Linked DNA regions of Daphnia pulex. The protein of the gene in region 1 binds, or shares a complex with, the protein of each later gene. Links are inferred from orthologs where the notes say so. Each region holds a gene or a part of one and is shown on either strand. Other genes may lie near its edges.

What was found. The genes of interacting proteins can lie anywhere in the genome.
Region 2: the proteins of cleavage and polyadenylation specificity factor subunit 6-like (region 1) and cleavage and polyadenylation specificity factor subunit 5-like are in contact, whole or in part, in a crystal structure (PDB 3P5T), measured with the Homo sapiens proteins. The link is inferred for Daphnia pulex from reciprocal best matches to the Homo sapiens genes CPSF6 and NUDT21. Residues at the interface, in NP_008938.2 of Homo sapiens: Trp90, Trp91, Thr92, Thr93, Asp94, Glu95, Lys113, Phe114, Glu116, Asn117, Arg118, Ala119, Asn120, Gly121, Gln122, Ser123; in NP_008937.1 of Homo sapiens: Pro151, Asn152, Glu154, Pro156, Tyr158, Tyr160, Pro162, Ala163, His164, Ile165, Thr166, Lys167.

Annotation. Positions count from the first base shown.
Region 1 is NC_060024.1:13,144,949-13,149,076, forward strand, and holds the start of cleavage and polyadenylation specificity factor subunit 6-like, read left to right. Parts: upstream 1-1,308; 5' UTR 1,309-1,386; coding exon 1,387-1,446; intron 1,447-1,645; coding exon 1,646-1,882; exon of another isoform or gene 1,883-2,523; coding exon of another isoform or gene 2,524-2,691; intron 2,692-2,841; coding exon 2,842-3,069; intron 3,070-3,325; coding exon 3,326-3,971; intron 3,972-4,045; coding exon 4,046-4,128. UniProt on the Homo sapiens protein: Component of the cleavage factor Im (CFIm) complex that functions as an activator of the pre-mRNA 3'-end cleavage and polyadenylation processing required for the maturation of pre-mRNA into functional mRNAs.
Region 2 is NC_060020.1:7,579,825-7,583,345, reverse strand, and holds cleavage and polyadenylation specificity factor subunit 5-like, read left to right. Parts: upstream 1-1,563; 5' UTR 1,564-1,692; coding exon 1,693-1,823; intron 1,824-1,957; coding exon 1,958-2,158; intron 2,159-2,216; coding exon 2,217-2,280; intron 2,281-2,332; coding exon 2,333-2,498; intron 2,499-2,585; coding exon 2,586-2,700; intron 2,701-2,759; coding exon 2,760-2,781; 3' UTR 2,782-2,986; downstream 2,987-3,521. UniProt on the Homo sapiens protein: Component of the cleavage factor Im (CFIm) complex that functions as an activator of the pre-mRNA 3'-end cleavage and polyadenylation processing required for the maturation of pre-mRNA into functional mRNAs.

The sequences.
Region 1 (4,128 bases):
CTCTGCAATTCATTACATAAAACATTCCATATAAATGAAAAAAAATAGATTGACTCACCACAGCTTTCATTTAATGTTTATCACATTTCAACATTTCACTTCGATAAAAAAAACAATCTTCATTGCTTTCACTTCATTAAATTGTAACACATAATAATTCACACAACATTAGCTAAACTCATCACAATAATTCATATCACTAATCACTATTCATATCTGACAAAAAACTCACTTTAAAAAAATTCTTCTCACAAAACTGATGCACCAACTAACAGACAAATATTCAACAGCAGCCAATTTGAAACAACAACTTTCCAACTAAGAATCTGAATCAACACTGAATATCTGACTGTAAAACATCAAGAAAAAAAGAAAAACACAAGGTTATACTAAGAATAATGTGATATCAACAGTACTAAGAAAACATCAATCTAAATGAAGAACTAACCAAGGCCACGGACAAAATAACAACCACGAAACACTGGCCCTGCCAAATTTATTTCCTTTCCTCTGATTTTATTCGACACAAGAGGTGCAACAGTGAGGTATAGAATGACAAACAGAGAAAACAATACGAAAACTTAATTTTTAAATTTCCTAATCAAGAAAAAAAACGAAAGGAGACTTATAAAATCTCGAAGGTGCCACAAAGGGGCTTGATTAATGGTTAATGAAATGGACTCTGTCATTTTTTCGTTGCAGCAGAGAAAACATTGGGTAGTACGTTTATAAATAAAGTAAATACGTTAAGTTTATGATAATTGTGTTGCTTAAAGGACTTGTTCTTTTTTATTTAACATACTTAAGAAGCATCAACATACTTTTTAAAACTTTAAGTACGTTAAATCTATGATAAGTGTGTTGCTAAAAGTACTTGTTCTGTAAACATACTTAATTTCATTTTTATAAACATACTTATTTTTTTGTAAGCATGTTACACTTCGAAGAAGCATGAAATTTTGCTTTTCAGTTTGTTTATAATTCTTACCAAAAAGCGTAACGTGTTAAGTAATCTTAAAGTGCTGAAATAGGGCTAAAATAAGCATCCTACCGAGCTTCCGTGTAGCTTTTAACTGTCGGTCAACAGTATCAAAATAATGTTTTACCTGTCTGACAAGAAAAGACTTCAAATATACTAGGATAACTAGGAAATTATGTTGGATCGTGTCGGATTTATGCGGGTTTTTTTTTTTTGCAAGATTTTTGCGGGATTTTGAAGAAAATCGTGCAAGATAAAGTGCAGGATTTTTAAAAAAAAAAAAAACGGATTTTCGGGACTTTTTAGGCAACCCTGCACGACTTTGCTATTTCAGAAGTGGCAGCACTGGTGGAAACAGAGAAGAAGTTCAAGACTGTGGTCGTTGGCCATAGACTAAACTTCATAAAATGGCTGACGTGCCTGATATTGACTTGTATGCCGACGATCTTGGTGATGATTTTCATGGTGTAAGTTTACGTACTTATTTATAGTTACCGGAAGAATGCGATGTTAATATTCTGTAGTTCGTTTATCAATAACTTATTTATGTACATTTATGTTCATTTTCTGTTGTTATCCCACCGCAGTGTTTGGCGTGGCGTCTTTGCTGTTTACCGTTATTAGATGAGACAGCATCATTTAACTTATTTTCTTAACTGATTACAGGATGGTGACGAACAAATTGGCGATGGCGTTGACTTGTATGATGACGTCTTGACATCTTCAACGAGCATCAAGCAGGAACTAAATGGAAAGGAGAAGATCTCAACGCTATCTTCTCATATCACATCCAGCTCTCTACATGGTTCATCTTCATTGATCGGAACTCCACTTCAGCTTCATGGCAGCAACAGCTCATCACAATCCAAAAGGATCCAGTTGTACGTGGGCAATCTGACGTGGGTACGATTATTCAAACCTTTCCATTTATAAAACCAATTGTTCAAAGTGTCGTTTTATTTATCTAAAAAGTAATTGTGCTGTATATCGAATCATTCCCAGATAGTTCCCAATTGTTTATTTTTATTTTATCGACATTAATCAAATTGTTAAGTCTGTGATATCAACCTAGCCACCATGTTGTTATGATGGAGGGGCTATGATGTGTGATAAAACTGTATGATGGCATTCAAAATTGAAAGAAGGGCATCATGAATGTTGATGTATGTATGTGTATGTGAGAAGGCATACCAATTCAGGGACATGAACGACCATGCATGTTGTACGCTGTGTATCTGCACTTTTTAAATAATTTTTTTTATCATCTATTGATCTATCATAAGTAGTCCATCAAAACTTATCATTAGCCCCTATCAAAACCTTTGACTGAAGGTTTTTGAGTTGTGTTGTATTACGTTTCTCAGGATGCGGTCCTCCATAGAACTCCCCAGAAAAAAAATTCTTGTCAATCAGTTTTGCGTAACTGATGTGCCACATCCATCGCCCCATGTTTTTTTTTCTCCTTTGATCTCTGAAATCGTCATCTCTGCCAAACGATATTTGAGTCGAATGAATTGTTAGTTTGGGGTGGGATATCGCTTGATATGACAATCTCAGCCACGTATTATAACAACCGCTGGCGCCCATGTGCAGGAACATCTTTGATGATGACAAGAAAAAGAAACTGCACTCTGGCATACACTCACTACAAATTGCGCGGCTGTGTAAAGGTGCCCGATCAAAATATCTTTTATTTGACCAATACAATTATGGTATGGATGTAATCGGCAGAAAACGATTTTCATGCTTTGTTTTTCTATATTATCTTTCTTTCTTTTGTTTTTTAAACAAACAAACCCAATCCAAAACAACAACAAACGACAACGACACAACATCAATTTTGTGGTTGTTGGACAATACAGTGGACCACAGATGCCGACGTGGAGAATGCAATCAGCGCGATTGGCGTCCAAGACCTGGTGGAGGTGCGATTTCATGAAAACCGAGCCAACGGCCAGTCGAAAGGCTTCTGCGTCATCACCGTCGGTTCCGAGATCAGCGCTCGTCAATGCATGGACAAACTTCCCAAAAAGGATCTGCACGGACAGACGCCCATCGTCACCTTCACATCCAAACAGGCGCTCAATCAGGTAAGATCAAAACATTTCTTAATCGTTTAGTGCTGCTAGACGAATTTTTTCCAAGTGCATACCAGTAGAACCATTGACTGTCTAAATTGAATACAGTTCAAAGGTGGGAAAGTGTAATGCAACATTAAAACCAATCAAGTCTGTAAACCTACAAGTGTCGTACAATTTAACACTTAACGGACGACTTGACTGGAACATCTTTAAACATTTATGTTTTATGCATTTCTTTTAATGTCAAAATATTTTTCTTATTCAGTTTGAGGCGCAGTCAAAGAGCCGCCCATCTAGACAATCAAGTCCTCCGCGGAGTACCGGTTCTGCTCCATCCGGAGTTCCGTCGCTAACAGTCGGATTACTCGGACCTCCTCCAATGAATGGGCCTCCTCCTAGGATGATGATGGGTCCGTCAGCTTCTTCATCCGGACCCCCACCTTTAACGAGTCTCTCATTACCTCCGCCACCTTCAGTTCGTGGTCCACCGACACCCGGAGGCATTCCCGTTCCGCCACCGACGCATCACCTTCTTCCACATCCGGTCATGTCACCTACGGTCGTACCGCGAGGTCCACCACCCGGCATGGGGATGCGTGGGCCTCCGCCCGGAATGGATATGAATCCTCATCGTATTCCGCCTCCTGGCAACGGCCGGCCAGAATGGGCCAACATAGTCCAGCAGCCAGCTCCTCACGTCAATCCGGCATTCTTCCCTCCGCCCGTTGCGGCACCTCCGCCTGGATTCCCTCCACCGATCGGCCCACCACCACCATTCATCACTGATAATCGGCCACCGCACACCAATGAGCCGCCAAACGTCAGTGAAGCCGAATTCGAGGAAGTGATGGGCCGCAACCGAACAGTTTCTTCTTCCGCCATTGCTCGAGCTGTTGCGGATGCCTCAACTGGTATGTCTTCAAGCTTCATTTTGCTCATTGAACCAAAATCAGTAGTAACTTATCTGTCTTCTTCATCCAATCAGGTGATTACGCCAGTGCAATCGAGACGCTAGTAACGGCCATTTCGCTCATCAAACAGTCAAAAGTGGCGCATGATGAGCGCTGC
Region 2 (3,521 bases), on another chromosome or scaffold:
AAATAGAAAAGCAGCAGATAGAAATCGACAAGTTGCGAGATCAAGTTTCGGAATATCGGACATACTACAAACGCGAATGTAAAATTTAGTTTGATTTTTTTAAAATTCCTAATTTAATCCATTTTTTTATGAATAGTAATTGAAAAGGCACGCATTCTTGGAAAAATGGAAAAGTACGACAGGGAGAAGGCTAAATTGGAAGCTAAGGCTAAGGTAAATATAACCACTCCTTTTATTACAACGTAATCTTAACTCATTTTTCTTTTTCTCAGACGCAGAAGAAAAGACATGACACAGAGTAGTGTTAGGTTGTAATCCGGGTAGTTAATTTAAGTAAATTAACGGAGTGTATTAAGCGAGGCGAAAGGAGCTTCTCTCTACGGACTCAGCCGAAACCAGACTGCCCTTCTTCCTGCTCGCTGCTTCCAAGCTTCAGCGCTTGAGCGCCGCACGACATCTAGCGGTCGCGGGAAGAAGGGCACAATAACACAACAAGTAGGAATTGAATAAGAATTTTCTGGTCATTACATTCATGGTTAGATCTATTGTCACGACATATGTCGTGGCGCGACGGTCAAAACTGTCTATTGTCACGACATCTGTCGTGGCAATAAAGAGAAAATTGTCTATCACATTTGATAATGGATCGAATTAAAAGACGAAAAATAGATTTTTGGTTATAGCGCTGGCATGATAATGAAGAGGGCCATGGTTCAAGTCTCATTATAGATTTACTTTTTTTTTAGAATAAAAATATTGTTTTGACCCATGCCCTTTGTTAACCATGACTCAGACAAATCAAAATTTTGCGGTAGAATTTTTTTTCACAAAATTTCATAGAAAGAACATTGAATTTATAGAAAAATTCTGATAAATTTGGAAGGCATTTAGCAAAAAGTCCGACTTAACAATAGGCCCTGAATTTTTCATTTAAGACAGTTTTCAACTGGCTTACGACTATCCCTTCGCGGCGAGCTGATAAGCTTGCTTTTCTATCTTTAAAATATATATATTCTTAAACTGTCCGAAAAAGCCCCTTCTGTGGGGTGAAACCGGACAAAAAGTCAGTGAAACTAAACCGTTAATATTTAAGCCATTTATTACTAAAAAACATTTTCAAAAGAAGTTTTTGAAAGAAGAAACCCTGGGCTACATTTTGGTGCCAAAACAAATACTTTTCTGAGCTTGCACTTAAAGAAATATTAACTATAAACCAGTTTGCTAAATTTTGTCCGGAATAGCCCCTCTTCCCCTACATCTATAACTCTGGTTTGGGAACGCGCGATATCGCTAGAGCAGAGCTATAGAATACTGGTAGCGCCACTGCCATGTTAACTCTTCCTCTCGGAAATTTTATCTGGGGCTGAAGCCAACTTTAGCAATCGATAGTGAAAATCGGAGATAATCGGAGCTAAGATATCGATCTCGCTCCTTGCCACTCCTCCACTTTTCCCTCCATTCCTATACCATGCCATGCGAATACCCTATTTCCCCACACACCCGCTGTGGTGCTTTTAGCTAAGGAGCAGGGCAGGCTTCAATTCCAGAGAAAAAAAGCAATGGAAGAGCTCGTCATATGAGTGGCGGTACCAGTATTCCATAGCTCTGGCTAAGAGAATAAAATTTCAGTTAAATTGCAACGTTGTCAATGCCAGTTTCTGTCAGTCTGCTGAATGCTACTATTGCTTTACCATGGCTTGCATACAATCCTGTACGAATCGCGTCGGTTGGCCTAAAAGTGAAATAAAAACCGAAATAAAAACTGAAATGTCAAACATGAAATTCAATCAGGGATCTTTGACGTTGCACAGAACTATCAATTTGTAAGTATTTTAACCTTTTATGGAAATAATGCCACATGAAGACAAAGAGCAACAATGTTTTGATTGAAAGAAAACAATGTTATTGAACTGCTATTTTCAAACACTTATTGACAGCAACATTCTCTTTATATTAGGTACCCTTTGTCAAACTACACATTTGGAACCAAAGATCCTTTATTTGAAAGAGATCCATCAGTTCCTGCACGATTTCAACGAATGAGGGAAGAATTTGATAAAGTTGGAATGAGACGAAGTGTAGAAGGCATCTTACTAGTTCATGAACATGGGCTACCTCATGTTTTGTTGTTACAGTTGGGAACCACTTTCTTTAAACTGTAAGAGTAATTTACAAAACATCACCTTTCATTTCTAATCTTCAACTTTTCTTCAAAGGCCAGGGGGAGAGTTAAACCCAGGAGAAGATGATATCGAAGGGTTGAAGAGACTACTAACAGAGGTATTTAAAGAAAAAAATTCACTAGTTTATTACTTTTTAACACCCTGTCTAGATTTTAGGAAGACAAGATGGTGTAGTGCAAGATTGGCTTATTGAAGATTCAGTCGGAAACTGGTGGCGTCCAAATTTTGAACCACCTCAATATCCATATATACCTCCACACATAACAAAACCAAAGGAGCATAAGAAACTTTTCTTGGTTCAGCTTCAAGAAAAAGGTATAAATAATTCTTTTCGTCTTGAGCAGTTTGGATATTTTAGTTATTTTAACCCTCTTAATGAACATGATATTTATTCTACATTAGCTCTCTTCGCAGTACCCAAAAATTACAAACTTGTTGCTGCACCCCTTTTTGAATTATACGACAATTCTCAGGGATATGGTCCCATCATATCCTCTCTTCCACAAACAATGAGCAGGTTAAAACTTTAATCACGGTATGATTTTCTTGGGATAATCATTAGACTTTGTTTGTCAGATTTGATTTCATATACATGTAAGGAAACTTCACAAGCCCAAGTTCTCTACACAGTCCAAAGGCGAGGGTTCTGCAAAATAGTCTCAACAATTTGCGTGTTTTTTTATTTGTGGCAGTGACTTTGACGCTTATCTAAGTGAAAGAAGAAACGAAGGCTCATTTAATTCGTTAATCGTCTTAATGTGCGGCTGAATTTGATTCATTCAATAAATGCTTATAAAAGCAAATCTCATTGTGTTCGCGACGCAAGTCGACCATTCAAGTTCAAGAAAATAAAAATTCTTTGTTAAAGGTATGGATGAAACGAAGTAATTCAAGTATATATTTAGTGTAACACTTGGTCGAAAGCCTTCAGACAGATTGGGTGGCTAACCTACTATAATCCTCTCAGACCCGAACGGGGAAAAAAAAGGCTTGACAGTACATTGACAAAGAAGAAGCGAAGTGAGGTCAAACAGTAACGAGAATCGACAGGGGGAAAAAATCAACTAATCTCCTTGTGGACGTGGATTATCAAATAATCCTTCGGCAATAATGAAGAACGTGACCAGTGCGTCGAACGAAGAAGGGGGGGGGGGAGTAAAGAGCAACCCGAGAACAAGCAGAGGGAAGGAGAGAATACGAAATTTAACTCTGGTCGTTGGTAATTACATCAGAACGTGACTCGTTACTCTCTCGATCCTCCACATCGCCCTAGCGACCTCAAAGTGCGCCGTTGAAAGAAGGGGAAGAAAATCGAATACAACAGAGGGAGGTCTGAGA